Linked DNA regions of Kluyveromyces lactis. The protein of the gene in region 2 binds, or shares a complex with, the protein of the main gene of each other region. Links are inferred from orthologs where the notes say so. Each region holds a gene or a part of one and is shown on either strand. Other genes may lie near its edges. The genes, in order: MRPL20 and MRPL15.

What was found.
Region 1: MRPL15 (region 2) and MRPL20 share a complex: the UniProt entries of both Saccharomyces cerevisiae proteins name them as parts of the mitochondrial large ribosomal subunit. The link is inferred for Kluyveromyces lactis from reciprocal best matches to the Saccharomyces cerevisiae genes MRPL15 and MRPL20.

The regions. Positions count from the first base shown.
Region 1 is NC_006037.1:688,459-696,134, forward strand, and holds MRPL20 (mitochondrial 54S ribosomal protein mL58), read left to right. Parts: upstream 1-4,147; coding exon 4,148-4,741; downstream 4,742-7,676. Other genes in the region: OMA1 (metalloendopeptidase), read left to right, coding at 1-314; DEAH-box RNA helicase PRP16, read right to left, coding at 398-3,592; KLLA0_A07777g (uncharacterized protein), read right to left, coding at 4,965-5,453; ribosome dissociation factor GTPase HBS1, read left to right, coding at 5,850-6,105, 6,421-7,676. UniProt on the Saccharomyces cerevisiae protein: Component of the mitochondrial ribosome (mitoribosome), a dedicated translation machinery responsible for the synthesis of mitochondrial genome-encoded proteins, including at least some of the essential transmembrane subunits of the mitochondrial respiratory chain.
Region 2 is NC_006039.1:1,525,144-1,532,846, forward strand, and holds MRPL15 (mitochondrial 54S ribosomal protein mL57), read right to left. Parts: upstream 4,153-7,703; coding exon 3,427-4,152; downstream 1-3,426. Other genes in the region: KLLA0_C17380g (uncharacterized protein), read left to right, coding at 1-2,932; RNA-dependent ATPase ROK1, read left to right, coding at 4,798-6,537; ATP20 (F1F0 ATP synthase subunit g), read right to left, coding at 6,835-7,194; DUR3 (Dur3p), read right to left, coding at 7,625-7,703. UniProt on the Saccharomyces cerevisiae protein: Component of the mitochondrial ribosome (mitoribosome), a dedicated translation machinery responsible for the synthesis of mitochondrial genome-encoded proteins, including at least some of the essential transmembrane subunits of the mitochondrial respiratory chain.

The DNA.
Region 1 (7,676 bases), on a different chromosome or scaffold from region 2:
CTGATTATATTGGATTGATGGTTATGTCTCGTGCATGTTTCCATCCAGAAGAGTCCCTTAAAGTATGGCAACGTATGGCAGCCATGGAGGAACAACAAAAGCGTCGCGGTATGGTGAATGTGGAATTCTTATCCACTCATCCAGCAACCACAAGAAGAATTGAGAACATGGCCAAATGGTTGCCAAAGTCTCAAGAGTTGTACTCTCAAGCCAACTGTGGCAATTTCGGAGGATTTTACAACTCGTTCCAAGATGCTTTTGGGTACGGTAACTCTGTCTCCCCTGAACCCAGAATCACTGTTTGGGGTATCTGATATGCTTTAAAGTTCAACAACTGTTCAATTACATGTACAAAGATGTATATATTCGTCGGTCGGTCAATTATTAATATATACTACTAGAAAGGTCTTCTTCTTTTTATTCCAATCCTAACCGCAGGCTGTTCCTGACGTTCATTGGTTGTCCTTCTCATTTCTATACTGTTCGTCTTATTTAAAGCAGCAGAAGATTTGTCGGTTTCTAGACGTTCCAATTTATCCTTTGCATTAAGCCTTAGTTTCTCAATTTGAAGATCAATTTTGTCCTGGTGGTCCTGATCATCGTTATTCAGAGAAGAGTTTAGTCCGAACTGATAGGATTGTTCTTTTCGTCTCTTTATATGATAGAAAATACCACTGTATTCCATCAACCATAATGGGTCGACAGCTGTCACGACATTTATATATTCCTTTGTAGTCATCAAAAGTTCATGATAGACGACATACGCTGGAAGGTCACCAAGACCAAATAAAGCACTTGTTGGATGTACTTTGAGATCCATCCCTGTTTTTAAATGAACATATTTGCCTAACCCTGATAGTTTGGCAGTCTGTTGGATGTAACCGGTGCATAGACATTTTCTTATTGGAGCCCAGTCTGACCCAGAAGAAGCCATCGGTAAATTCAATTTTCTTATCACATAGAGTAACTGTTCTCGAATGTCTTTAGCTCTTTGGAGAGATCTGAATTGTAAGAAGCGTGAATTACACCAATGGGCAGAATATCTGTTGGCTTTCCATTGAGCATACACGTTAAGTAGGGTCAAATGATCTGATTCAGGGATGAAAAACCGGCTTCTGGCTTGGTCAGATTCTTCTTCACGTTCCTTCGGCCTATAGAAGACAGACGGAACCGAAAGCATAGATACAATCGTTAACATCTCTTCGGTACAGCCATATTGTGATGCACTTATTAGTACCCTGGAAAGAAAGGGCTGTAAAGGGAAGGCACCCATCAGTCTGCCTAATTTAGTTAGATGACCGAAGTTGTCCAAAGCTTCTAAGGCCCAAAGATCGTACAACGATGTCATTAGATTCTGCGATGGCGGTGGATCAATGAAAGGGAATTTCGATAAGTTGTTGATATTCAACGATTTCAACTGCAAGAGTGTATTTGCCAAATTTGTCCTTTGAATTTCTGGGATGGCCTGAGGATACATATCTTCCATCGCTGAATCATGAGTGAAAAGTCTATATGCGATACCAGGGCCCGTACGACCAGCCCTTCCTGACCGTTGATTAGCATTTGCAAGTGAGATGGGTGTGATTCGCAAACTATCAAGGCCGATTTTCGGATTATACACCTTCAATTTGGAGTACCCACAATCTATGACATATTTAATACCGTCAACTGTCAATGATGTTTCAGCAATATTTGTGGCAACAACAATCTTTCTAACGTTTTGTTCTTGTCTTTGAAATATCCTTCCTTGTACATCTGCAGGTAACGACGAGTAAATTGGAAGAACTTGAACATCCGCTAATTGCTCCTCATAATTTGCCCCGTATTTTTTAGTATAGATCTCAGTTAAGCGTTCGATGATGGTAGAACAAGTTGCTTCAATATCTTCTTGACCAGTCATAAATATCAAGATATCTCCATTTGAAATTGGTGTAGATAAATGTATATCTAAAGCTTTTTGAACAGCAGATTCAACGTAATCAGGTACTGGATGGTTAGTGTAAATGATTTCGACGGGGAAAGTTTTTCCCGGTATGAAATATTGTGGCGCATTACCAAAGAATTGGGAGAACTTATCTGCATTCATTGTTGCCGATGTCACGACAAGTTTTAAATCGTGTCTTCGAGCTAATAATGTTTTGAAGATCCCTAGGAGCACATCGGTGTTCAAAGATCGTTCATGAGCTTCGTCCATTATAATACATGAATATTTCTCAAGCAACGGATCTATCATTGCCTCCCTAAGGAGTATACCGTCGGTCATAAACTTGATTTTTGTTGAATCCGAAGTCTGATCTTCGAATCTGATTGAGTATCCAACTTTAACACCAATTGGGGTATCCATTTCTTTGGAAACTCTTTCAGCAACCGATACAGCTGCTACTCTTCTTGGCTGTGTACATCCAATCATTCTACCATTTGCAGTGAAACCGTCTTCGTAGAGGAATTGTGCTAATTGTGTTGTTTTACCTGAACCCGTTTCACCAATAACCACAGTAATCTGGTTATCTCTAATATGGCGCATTAAGTCGTGTCGTACTTTATAAGCGGGTAAAGACCTTCTCACTGCTTGTATTTCTTCAAAGCTCTGCTCTTTTTCTTTTATAGCAATGGGCTGATTAGGTTGCTTAGTTTGCGCGTCAGTTGAACTATCTTGTTTTACTCCTAGAACTTTACCTAAGGCGCTACCTTTTAGCTCGGTAGCGTTCTGAGATTTAGATTTTCTATCTCTATGAATCCTCCTCATCGCTACAAGCTTGCTGCCTCTCCTTGCATTAATAGAAAAGTCGCTCTCAGGGTTTCTTATCGGATCTGCTATTCCCTTATTTGCATTTGAAGACATATCCAAAGCACCCACTATCGCAAGCTCTCCTGACTGGTCATGGAAATCAAGTAAAAACGGAGGAATAATGGTTTTACGCTCATTCAACGATAAGGAAGTTAATTGGATTTCAGGTTCATTCAAGTCAAGCTCTCTGTCGCCGCCTTCGTACGGATCTTGCTGAGCTGGTATATATTCATCATCGTGAATGACGTTATCAAAATCATCATCATTATCGTACCAATTTCTATCTTGTGCAGTAAAATCCTTGGCGTCCTTTATATCTTCCACATCACTACCTTCTGCATCGATAAGTGTGCCTTTGGTCGCTTCTTCTTTTTTTACCATGACCACTGGTTCAGTGTTTTCTGAAAACTCATTCAATTTTGCTGCAGTTTGCTTCGTAATACGTTTCAAAGTCAAAGGCTTGTTGAATTTTGGTTTCACTTGTACCTTCACAGTAGAAAGCTCATCTTCATCGTCGTCTTCCTTGTCATCCAACGGAAGTTTAACCACAAATTTTTTCCTTATGGTTCTTGCTGGAACAGCCGCTGATTCTGGCTTTGGAGACTGCTTATGTGCCTGTAATTTTTCAAAAAGTTGCTTCAAAAACTCATCTTTGCCCTTAAATTTCCCCAAAGCCTTAGCACCCCCGATGAACTTGTTTACATCCTTATGAATACGTGCAATCTGCCTTAAAGTCTCAACAAACTTCTCTGTCACTCTTGATTCCGTATTCTGTTGAATCCATTCTTGAAGTTCTGCATTCATCTAATTCTGTTGCTTGGTAAACCTACCACCTGGCGTAAAACCTGATGAGACAGAGCTGCTAATGAAGTATCACAAGGACTGTTTATGCCATTATTCTTGTCCCATCTCATAGCCTTTCAGCTCTTCCTGTTGTGAATAGGAACGACATTTGATGTTGATGTTGGGATTACCCGGCTTTCACGTGACAAAAGATACAGAATAGTCCAAATTGGCACTTCTAAAAGCTGCATAATATCGCCAATATAAGCCCTATTTTAACAGGTCAGCTCACACTCATTCATAGTACTAATCGATATTATATAGAAGCATCTTCAGGTAGGTATATCCACTAGAATAATCCTATATTTCTCGAAATAAACTGTTTTCCCATACTAATCCTGTCTGTCTCATCAGGATTTCTATCTGAAAAATTTGAAAGCATCAAACTGAAAGATTTAGAGTCTGCAGTGCGAAACATGGTGATTGATAGTTTAAATAACAAGTTTTAGACCCTTACACCAGGCTTATAATCCCCAATTACGCTGTAGAAATTACATTTGACATATTCGCTACAGTATGGTGAGACTATTTTCGACCAGCGCCCGTGCGGCCAAGGATCTTTCAAAGATAATTGATAAATCAGGTAAGTTACCTAAGATCGTTGGACCAGCTACCATTTACAATCCAAAATCATCTGCCTCCAATTACAAAGGTTATTTGAAAGCCAAGATTCCAGCAGGTCTATATTACGATCCAGCTCCATCCTCTATCCATGGTTCTACTAACTCAGAAACGATTCCAAAATCTTTCTTACCGGCCACTGATCCAAGGCACGACATTATAGATGACCTAACGCAAGGTAACGCAGAGATATCGAGGGTAGCGCCAGTGTTACATGAGAAGGGTGAGAAGACCTACCATTTGAAGCCTGAAGACATCGCTGAGATTAGAAGACTAAGACTGGAGGACCCGGTGAAAAACTCTAGAAAAGCTTTAGCAAAGAAGTTCAACTGTTCTCCGTTGTTCATCTCTATTGTTTCTGAACCACCCAAGGAAAGAAAGACAGAAATGAATCAAGTTCTTGAGACGATAAAGAGCCAATGGCATCCTAAGAGAGCATTGGCCAGAGCCGAAAGAAAAAAGAGAAAGGAACTCTGGTACAGAGCATGAGAAAAGGTAAAAGAAAACAACATACTGTATATCTGTAAATAGTAATAAGATAACCATCGACCTTATGTTTCAATCGTTAGTCATCAACTCTATTAAATGGCTTATAACATCTATATATATGCATGTAATATAATACAATGGAAGACGTGCAAAAATTAGTGTCTATCTCAATAAGTTACAGCTGGGGTCATTATCGTTAGGAAAAAATGATACATTAGTACCACTAATACCCATCGTACATCTCTTGGAAAATTTCGTACTCATCTCGGATTCTCAGGATTATATCTTCGAATAACTGCATCTGATACGCATCTTTTATTTGTAGTTCCAATGCAATCTGATGCCTATGCTGTCCCTCGCACAACATTGCTATCTGATACCATTTCTCCCTCCGCTGCAATACCGTATGCAGCTCCTTCAGATTCGATATCACCTGCGTCTCACAGAACAACCTCTCGTCGCTGTTTATATCCTCTTTATCAACTCCGTCCTCTTTATCCGAAACGAATCGAAACCTGTACAGCGACGGTTGCATCATCGTCGACTGATTGGACCCATCCAAATGCAAAAGCTCGTCTACTATAAGCTTCCCCTTCCATAGCAAATGCTGGGGTTCCCACGCTCTTGCAATGCTTCGCGGTACGATATTATACAAAACACAACTCTGTATCACTCGTTGATGCGTTGTCAGCACATTCTCCGGAACTGTCATCCGAAAACGTATCGGCTATATCACTTCTGTTCTCTTCAAAATATTACCTAGGAAATTCAACTCGTTCACCTGTTAAATCACCTACCGGGAATTACCTTCTTGACCAAAAAAAGAATGTACTAATGGACAAACTGCACTGTTTACAACTCACTTCATGCTATCGATAACAACTCATCTCATCTCATCGATAAAGAGATTGCATGTCGACGCAGCAACTGATAAAGAAATTTTTAAAGTCACGTGACAAGTATCAACAGTTTCTGAAAAAATCTGAAAATCTCAATTACAAAAGGTTTCTAATCGCAAGCAATTCTCTTGTTATTCGGTTCAACCTGCATTTAAACTCGAATTATACCGTCTATTGCCTGATTCTCTGACTAAGCGAAGCAGTTTATTATGTCTAAGTTTTATGACGATGATGACGCTGTGGATTATGACGACGATGTACCTGATTTCCAGGACGAGGATGAATTTGACGATTATTTAAACGATGAAGAATTTGAATTGATGAACCAGTTGTTTCCCCTGGCGAAGGAGCAATTAGCTGATTATCAGGGTTGGGATAACTTGGCCGTGAAAGTTGCGATTTTTGATCACAATTTCGAGTTAGAACCTGCATTGGTCGATTTAAAGAGAAGATTCAAGAAAAAGGGTATGTATAATTGGCATTGGACGTGGCGGTGTTTTATATTTTTACGTGTTTTCAGTTATGATTTCTTGTTGGTTCTTCCATGGTAAACAAAATTGGTACTAGGGGGGTCTGCCTATCTTGTATTTTATCTTCTTTGTGGACGGGAAGAGGGTTATGATATATTGTACTAACGGAGCTGGACATGTCGATTGATCATGATGGTCGTGAACGTGGTGCTTATTTGTGTTTCGGACGGGCAGCAGAAGAAAAAACAATTGACTTGATTGAACAGCGTGTATTGTATTGCATCTCTAATGAGCTATATGACTAACTAAGTATCATTTATTTGTTTGTTTGCAGAACAGAAAGTGGAAAAGAAACTATCGGCCTTAGAATTACTGGCTAGGAAACGTGCAGAAGCAAGGAATAAGGCTTCAACAATGGCACCTGCAACAACTAAGGTTTCTCTTCTGGACAAACTCAAGAACGGAGGTGGTAATGGACAAAATGGTAATCCTGTAAAAACAACTGTATCCGTAGCTAGTCGATTGCAATCACTTAAAAGGGGACCCATTACTACTGACAATAACAGTAACGGCGCTGCAACTGCATCCTTTTCACAACCGAAAACTCACACATTGGCATCAAAATTGGCATCACTCAGGAAAAGTAAACCTGAGGGACAGATTATAGAGAAACCCGAAGCGGAAGAAACGAACGTAGAGGTGGTCATCGAAGAAAATAAGATAGATCATGAAAAGAAAGATAAGGATGACCCATGGGTCATACTTAACCAATTGAAAGATTCAGCATATGTCAGTAATATAAACGAAATTCTGGCAATCAACAAGGTACCGTTATATTCTGGCATCTTGGAGAAACTAGAGTTTAATTCAACAACCACGAAAAGGAAACACGAAGAACTGTTTTCAGTCTATTATCCAAATACTAACAATAGAGTAGTTAAAAAACAAGCAATTGCTAACTTTAGCAAGCCATCTCCGGATGATGTCGTAATAAACCAACAAAAGGCAGCATTCGAGGTGGATAAAATTAAAGAAAAGGTCGCTGATTTATCTATACAAGATAAACAAAGTTCAAAAACTGTTGAAAAAGAAGAGGATATCAATGACGATGACGATGATGATGAGAAGTTACCTTTTGAAGAGCCTGTTGTGAAGACTTACAAGAAGGTGAGTGTTCCTACAAAACCTAAAAATGCAATCAATATTTCTTCCTACCTCGACAACAAGAAACCTCATTTGAATTTTGTAGTTCTAGGTCACGTTGATGCAGGAAAATCCACATTGATGGGACGTCTACTATACGACGTTGGTGCTGTTGATACAAAATTGATTCGTAAGTTGCAAAAGGAAAGTGAAATGATTGGCAAGTCCTCATTCCATCTTGCTTGGGTCATGGATCAAACTTCAGAGGAAAGAAATAGGGGTGTTACCGTTGACATTTGTACTAGTGATTTTGCCACTACTAAAAGTTCGTTCACCATTGTTGATGCTCCTGGTCATAGAGATTTTGTTCCAAATGCAATTGTTGGGATTTCACAGGCTGATGTCGCTGTTCTTTCAGTAGAC
Region 2 (7,703 bases):
TGAAGATTTTAATTCGAATGACAAGGCAGAGGTCTCCTCTCCTGCATTACACGTACTTGATTCTAAGCCATCGCCAATTGTACCTAGCAGTATAAATAATACGTCGGTGGAAAAATTACCAGAAGATGAGAATTCTGCACTTAATGCAACTTTGCAGACTTCTACAGTCATTCCAAAGACAGCATCAATCGACTGGAGTTCAGATGAAGAGGATCACAAACCAGAAGCTGATGAGAAGGAATTAGCTAGTGAAGACAATGACGTTATTAAGATAGATAGAGCGTTTTCACTAAATCAGTCCCCGGTCATTATTCCAGATGAAACACAAAGCCCACCTCAACCTACAGCTTCCTCACCTGTGGGAAATAGAAGTCCGATTTCCATAGATGACCATTTCACGTTCTCAGAGAGACCGTTATCACAATCCAGTGAGGCTAGAACTCCATTGGCTCAAACTGCTGCCACTACAGCAATGGCTGCAAGTGCTGGGTTGTCGCCTTTCACCAGTAATAAAAATAAAATGGGATCCTTGTCTCAATCGGTAGAACGTAACAAAGATCGTGATATAGAGCTATTAGTTCTGGAAGGGAATAAGTTGGACAGTACCATTACAACTTTGGAGAGAGAAAAATCAGAACTTTTGAATCAATTAGATGAATTGAAGACCAATAATCAACGATTAACAGAAGAAGTTCAGCAATTGAAACAGAATGCCGACCAATCAAGTACTACTAAAGCTCTAGATAGTAATTTCCAAAAGGGAATGTCCGAAATGACTACTCAACTAAATCAACTGTCAATAGAAAACGAAGAACTCAAACAAGAAAAACTAGAACTTCAGCTGCAATTGAAAAATATACAGTCTCCAGTTAAATCGATTGACGGTAAATCAGGGAAGGATGCTGCCTATTGGAAATCAAAGTATGAAGACGCTTTTGCTGAAAAACCTGTCAGAACAAGCTCTTCTTCTATGGCCCCCATTTCAAACAAGCAACTTTTCCCTGAAACTAGTATAATACCGTCAAATCTCATCGACGACTTGGATTCCAAGTTATCACAAATACTAAGCCTCATTGTGTCACCTGAACCTCCAGTTTTGTTTTTATTCGAGAACATTGCTTCCATTTCAGAATATTGTTCAAAAATTTTAACTTTAGTTCACTCCCCAGATACAAAGACCATGAGACTAGTGTTAGAGAACACAATATCACATGCTATCACATCTGTGCGTTACTTCAGCAGCTATAAAACTCCATTATCAAGAGTTATTCTTGAAAATTCTGTTTCAGAAATCTCATTTGCAATCTATGATTTGGTTAAGACGGTAAATGGCGGATCCAATAACGATGAAATATTCACATCAAATAAATCTGGTGATCAACTGGATAGTCCACTTGGCCTCTCCATGCAAAATAGACAAACCTCGAATAACTTTGCTAAAGGTTTACACGAGGGAAGTGTTTTAGACAAACCATCACTTCTTCCTTCTCGGGCTGATAGCGTTGAAATGTCTCCGGTCAAACCTTTGAAAATTACCCAGAAAAAAAATACCGACGACGCGTCATCAAGGCCTGTTTCAGTTAGAAAGCCCTCTGGAACTGGCTTATTTACAGCAATGCTTAATGGGGGTATGAAGAAAGATAACGCATCAAAGAAATCCAAGAATATATTGCAGTTAGAATTACCTCTGGATAACAATTCCAAATCGGAAAGCAATGCTCCTATAATCGAACGCAGAGAATTGAAGACCATTGATGCAATTAAGTCTGCTTCAGCCAGCAATTCACTTCTACCTACTTCGCCACTTGCCAAAAAATCATCAGCAGTTGTTCCTTCTGACTTTAAAGACCCAAATCCTTTTGAGTTATCATCTCCAGAAAAGGGAAAGCTATTGCAAAATATTAATTCTGACATATACAACAGCAATGATGAAGAAACTGAAAGCGAAAGTGTAGAGGAGGAGGACGATGGGAATTCTACATATGAAGTGTTAAGACAAACCATGAAGCAAAAGCATCTACAAGAAGAAAACGGAACCAACGAAGAAAAAAATTTGAAAGGAATTTTTTCGCCAGTGGTACATCCACAACCTATTGAAGTTTCAACAGAGGATGTCGACTTAAATGAGAAGTCATTCAATTTTGAATCTGAAGAAAATGCTAAATCTGAATCTGAATCTGTACCTTCGATAACTGTAAACAAAAAGAATATAAAACTCGTTCCTATCCCTGCCGTTACTCCAACTTTGAAACAAAAAGAGCCATCCCCATCACCTACTGCCGAATTGGTTATTTCTCCATTAAGGCCTATAGTAACTGCTTCTGATAATTCAAAAGTTAATGACGATCAGAAGGCCGTCGATGCCAACAAAAGCGAGTCAGAAACTAAAGAAATCGCAGAACAATCAGAAACTGGTGAAACTGACGACGACATTGAATTTGACGTTGATGCGTTTGACATTGAAAATCCTGACAATAGTCTTTCTGACTTATTGCTATACCTAGAATATCAGACAATGGATGTTATAAACACAATTCAATCGTTATTGAGCAGTATTAAGTTACCTAAATCCACTGCTGGAGAACTAAGAACCGAATCAAATGCTATCAATCAAGTAATAAGGCAAATGGTGGAAGCTACAAGTGTTTCCATGAACCAAAGCCGTAATTCTCAATTGAAAGAACATGGTTCATGGGTTGTTCAGAGTTTAGATGACTGTCGTCGTAGAATGACCATACTTTGTCATCTTAAACCAGACGGTATTGTAGTAGCGCACGAGGGGGACGAAGAGTTCGCAGATAAGCATTTCAAACAACGTTTAGCTGGTATTGCATTTGATGTAGCAAAGTGTACCAAAGAATTGGTAAAGACTGTGGAAGAAGCTAGTCTTAAGACCAACATTGAGTATTTAAATGCTAAGCTTTCCAAGTAAATTACCAGCAAAAAACATCCCTTCTATGAAGTTATATATGTATTTATATACATGTATTGTATTATGTACTTTTCTTAATCTGTTTTTATTTTGTATGTTAACATTTAATTAATGATAGATTTAGTTGTAAATTTATGTACGTCTATATTTCTAGAGATACATGAGATATATACAGTGCGCGCGTTTCTTTCGAGGTTCATTTTTAATTGAAGTGTGACGATGGAGTGTCGTTAAAAGGTTATGCTTTTCATGCTTTTGGTAAATTCATTATAATAAAACGTTGAAATTGAGCAGGGATGAAAGAGTAGATTAAAACACCACATTGACCAAGAGCTGTGATTGAAACTTCCGTTTCGAAATATATATATACAAGTTTTGAAAGCTCTTTCCCAACTCCGATGGAGACCATTCACTCGAGTGCTTTTTATTGATGTCGAAGTCTATTGTGTATTCCATTTCTCTTTCTTTCCTGTCGTGTAAAATTAGACATAATATTATAACTTCTCGGTCGTATCCCTGTTTGCTAACAAACTTTCAGATATCTTCGTTAGGGAATCACTATTGTCGCTGAATAGTTCATGCAACACGTATTCGGTGGCCTTGTCTTGACCGTGCAATAGATAGACACTGCCGACCACAGAATTTAGCACAGTTTGTAGCACGGTATACTCACCGTTATATTTGTGACTTTTTTGAGTGTCTCGTTTGTTCCAAAACACTAATTTATCTAGGTTTCTCCTTTGCAAAAATTCAGCCGTACTCTGTTTGGATATTAACATTTTAGAACTTCCCTTCCCAAGCATACCGAAATTTAGTCCGTTAATAACAGGTTCAGACTGTACGCTTTGTGATAGTTGCCTTTCAGAAACAGGTAGACCCAAGGAATGAAGACAAGCTTGATATTTCACAAAATGACCACCGATAATAGACAATTTCTGATTGTATGGTTTAATACCTTGGGCAAACGACTTGTGAGTCAAACATTGTGTAATGATGTCGTCTGGCAAGTCAATACCATATTTTTCCAAATTCAAACCTTGCTTAACAGTAGATACATGGCCATCCTTGACAAGAGAATCATAGTGCAAACCGTGTGGATTCTTCAAAGACTCAACTGGGTCTCTTTTCAAACCACGTACCCTAGTCCCAACGTGTAGATAAGAACCATTACGCACGCCGAATTTTGTGCTTAAGTTAAGACCAATTTTGGTTAAGGACATTATTCCAGAAGTAAAAAAATACTGTCTGAATGGTTTCTGTCTGGTATTTTCACAATTCAATCTTCCTCGACCGAATATCAACAGATTGTAATTACACAGGACACAAATATTAGAATTATTGAATCTTAATTCTAACAGTTTAGTCCTTTTAACTACGATTCAAACTGTTTCTTTGTAGTTTTTCGACTCGAGGCAGCGATCCAAATTTTGAAATTTTTCAAAATTTTTCAGATCACTCCAAACGAGGTCATCGCTGTGTCTAAGTGCTATCTTGTATGATGGGAATACATGCAATATCAAGGCATTAGGTACTGTTATCAAGGGAATATGGTCATTATGGGCTGGTATTATGAGGGCTTAATACCAGCTGTATCTTAAAGTAAGCTTTGCTGCATCTTTATGCCTTGAGAAGTACTTTTATATCGATTTTTACACTTATTGTACCCTAAGTTTTGTGAAAAGAAACGCTTCAGTAAGATCAATTTTAATTGAAAAAACTGCAATTAGATGTAGGCGATGAGATGAGATGAGATGAGATGAGAGAGTAGTAAGAGATTGATTATATCACTCACAGTGGTTTACTATCGAATTTATTCTCATTACTAAGTAACTTCTCACAGGCCAATACTAGCACCGCTAATTAACATGGATATCTTTAGAGTCTTGACTCGTGGAGCTAGCATAAGGAAGAATGGTGATTCTAATAGAACACAGTCTGCAGACTTTAGCATGGCTAATGAAAAGAAGAGTAAGACAGCTGGCAGCTCAAGTACACCAGCTAGAGATGAACAACAATTGACTAAGGAGTTGGATTTTTTCCGTAATAAGAAAATCATGAATAAGGTAAAGTCTGAGTCAACCAAAGGTGAAGGTGAAGACGAAGTACAAGAAGATAATCAAGAAGAAGACGAAGATCATGCTGATGACGAGACTGAGTTATCCGGGAAAATTATCACGAAACAAGATGCGTTAAAGTTACGTAAATCTTATCAAGGGAATGTTTCAGGGAATAGTGTTCCTTTGCCCATCGGTTCTTTTGAAGACTTGATCACAAGGTTCCAATTCGATAAGAGATTGTTAAACAACCTCATAGAAAATAACTTCACTGAACCAACTCCGATTCAAAGTGAATCTATACCGATTTTGTTGCATGAACGTGACATGATCGCTTGTGCTCCCACAGGTTCTGGTAAAACGTTGGCATTTTTGATCCCACTACTGCAACAGATAATCAACGATAAAACCACAGTTGGTCTTAAAGGTTTAATTATATCCCCAACAAAAGAACTTGCGAACCAGATCTTCATCGAATGTTCCAAATTAGCGAACAAGATATACTTGGACAAGAAAAGACCTCTGCAAGTTGCCCTACTTTCAAAATCATTAAGCTCAAAATTAAAGAATAAAGTTATCAGTGAGGACAAGTACGATATTATCATTTCTACTCCCTTGAGATTGATTACTGTGGTTCAGGAAGAAGCCTTGAATTTGGGTAAAGTGAAACATTTAATATTTGATGAAGCGGATAAATTATTCGACAAGACATTTGTGGAACAAACTGATGATATCTTGAGTTCATGTACTGATCCACATCTCCGTAAAACAATGTTCTCTGCCACTATACCATCCAACGTGGAGGAAATCGCCCAAACCATCATGAACGATCCTATCAGAGTCATTATCGGTCACAAAGAAGCAGCAAATATCAACATTGATCAACAATTAGTATTCTGTGGTAACGAGGAAGGTAAACTTATAGCCATCAGGCAATTGGTTCTTGAAGGTGAATTCAAACCTCCAGTAATCATCTTTTTGGAATCTATTACAAGAGCCAAGGCATTGTTCCATGAATTGCTATATGACAAGTTGAATGTGGACGTGATCCATGCCGAAAGAACTCAAGTTCAAAGAGATAAAATTATCGAAAGATTCAAGTCTGGAGACCTTTGGTGTTTGATCTGTACCGATGTGTTGGCTCGTGGTGTCGACTTCAAAGGTGTGAATCTGGTCATCAATTATGATGTTCCTAGATCAGCTCAGGCGTATGTGCATAGAATCGGTAGAACAGGTAGAGGTGGTAGATCCGGTAAAGCCATTACTTTTTACACGAAACAAGATTCTTTGGCAATTAAACCAATAATAAACGTGATGAAGCAAAGTGGATGTGAAGTCTCAGAGTGGATGCAAAAGATTTCTTCCATGTCCAAAAGAGAGAAGGAATCATTGAAAAAGGGTAAGGGTCATGTGGAGAGGAAACAAATCAGTACTGTTCCTAAGGTTGTAAAACAAAAAAAGAGACAAAGAAGAGAAATGATCGAAGCTTCAAAGAAACGGAAACTCTCTGTATCGGATGCCGAGGAAGAAGCTGGCAACGATTCGACCTAACCTCAGGATAACCCCTGTTGCTTATTTCCAATATCAAATGTTCGAATTAAGTCATGATGATATACATATAATTAAAGCGTCGCAGAATCCGTATGTATATTACATATAGACGATACATATATATAGTCTTTTAACACTTCATCTGGGAAACCAGAGTAAAAGTCGCTTTATTTTTAGGTTGTTTTTTTCTTGGCTGGAAATGAATATAGTGTTGTTTGTAGTTGTTAAAATTTCGTTCGTATGTTACTGAATATGCTTTTAAAATTGATACGGTCGGCCTCTCAATCAATTCCATTTTTAGTGGTGAGTAGAGTAGTTACGGTAACCAACAACCTTTCTTCTACCGATAATTTCACCCAATGAGTATAAACCTAACAATTGCACGCCGAAAGCACCGATCTTAACGGCTTGGTCCTTTTCAATGTTCTTCAACAAGTTAACAACTTGTTGAGGCTTATCAGCATAACCCAAAGCTTGTCTGTACAATCTGGTGTAGACCATTTCAAAGTCCGAGAAGTTTGGTGGCTGTAGACCTTCCTTAGTGTAGACCTGCTTGGATAATTCAGCAGTAACCTTACCGTAGTAAACGGTCTTGGTCAACAGTGATTGTGTCTTGTGTGTCAAAGAAGAAACTAAAGATTGGACTCTGGAAATCATTGCTGCTCGACTTTTATCTATTGAATACACTAAACCAACCAAGCTAGAAGTGTGAGACCTTGTAATCTTCTATCAATTGACTCTTGACTTGATGCTTTAGTTCGATATCTCTTCATGTTTGGTTCAATTCAATGAAAATTTTGAGGGAAAAGATCAACAGTATTACCCGGACATTTGAAATATCCGGCCAATCATATTTGAGAACCGTTGACTTAAACGTAAGTGAAGAGTACTTCACTTCTTGTAAAGCTTATGAATAGCGGTGGTTTACTCCATGGCTGGTCTGTATGCCTTATGGGTTTCTGTTAAGGTTACTGTGACCCCGTTTTACCCTGGCCATTGATGTCTTTAAGAGTTATTATCATAATTAAAAGAATTAAGATGGTTTATGGATGACTATATGAGAAAAACTATAAGGTGATGACTTCCATCAACGTTCGATAACATCGTCCAAGTTTTGCCTCACTTTACTTTTGTTAGTTTCCGATCTGATTGATTCGATCTTTGCT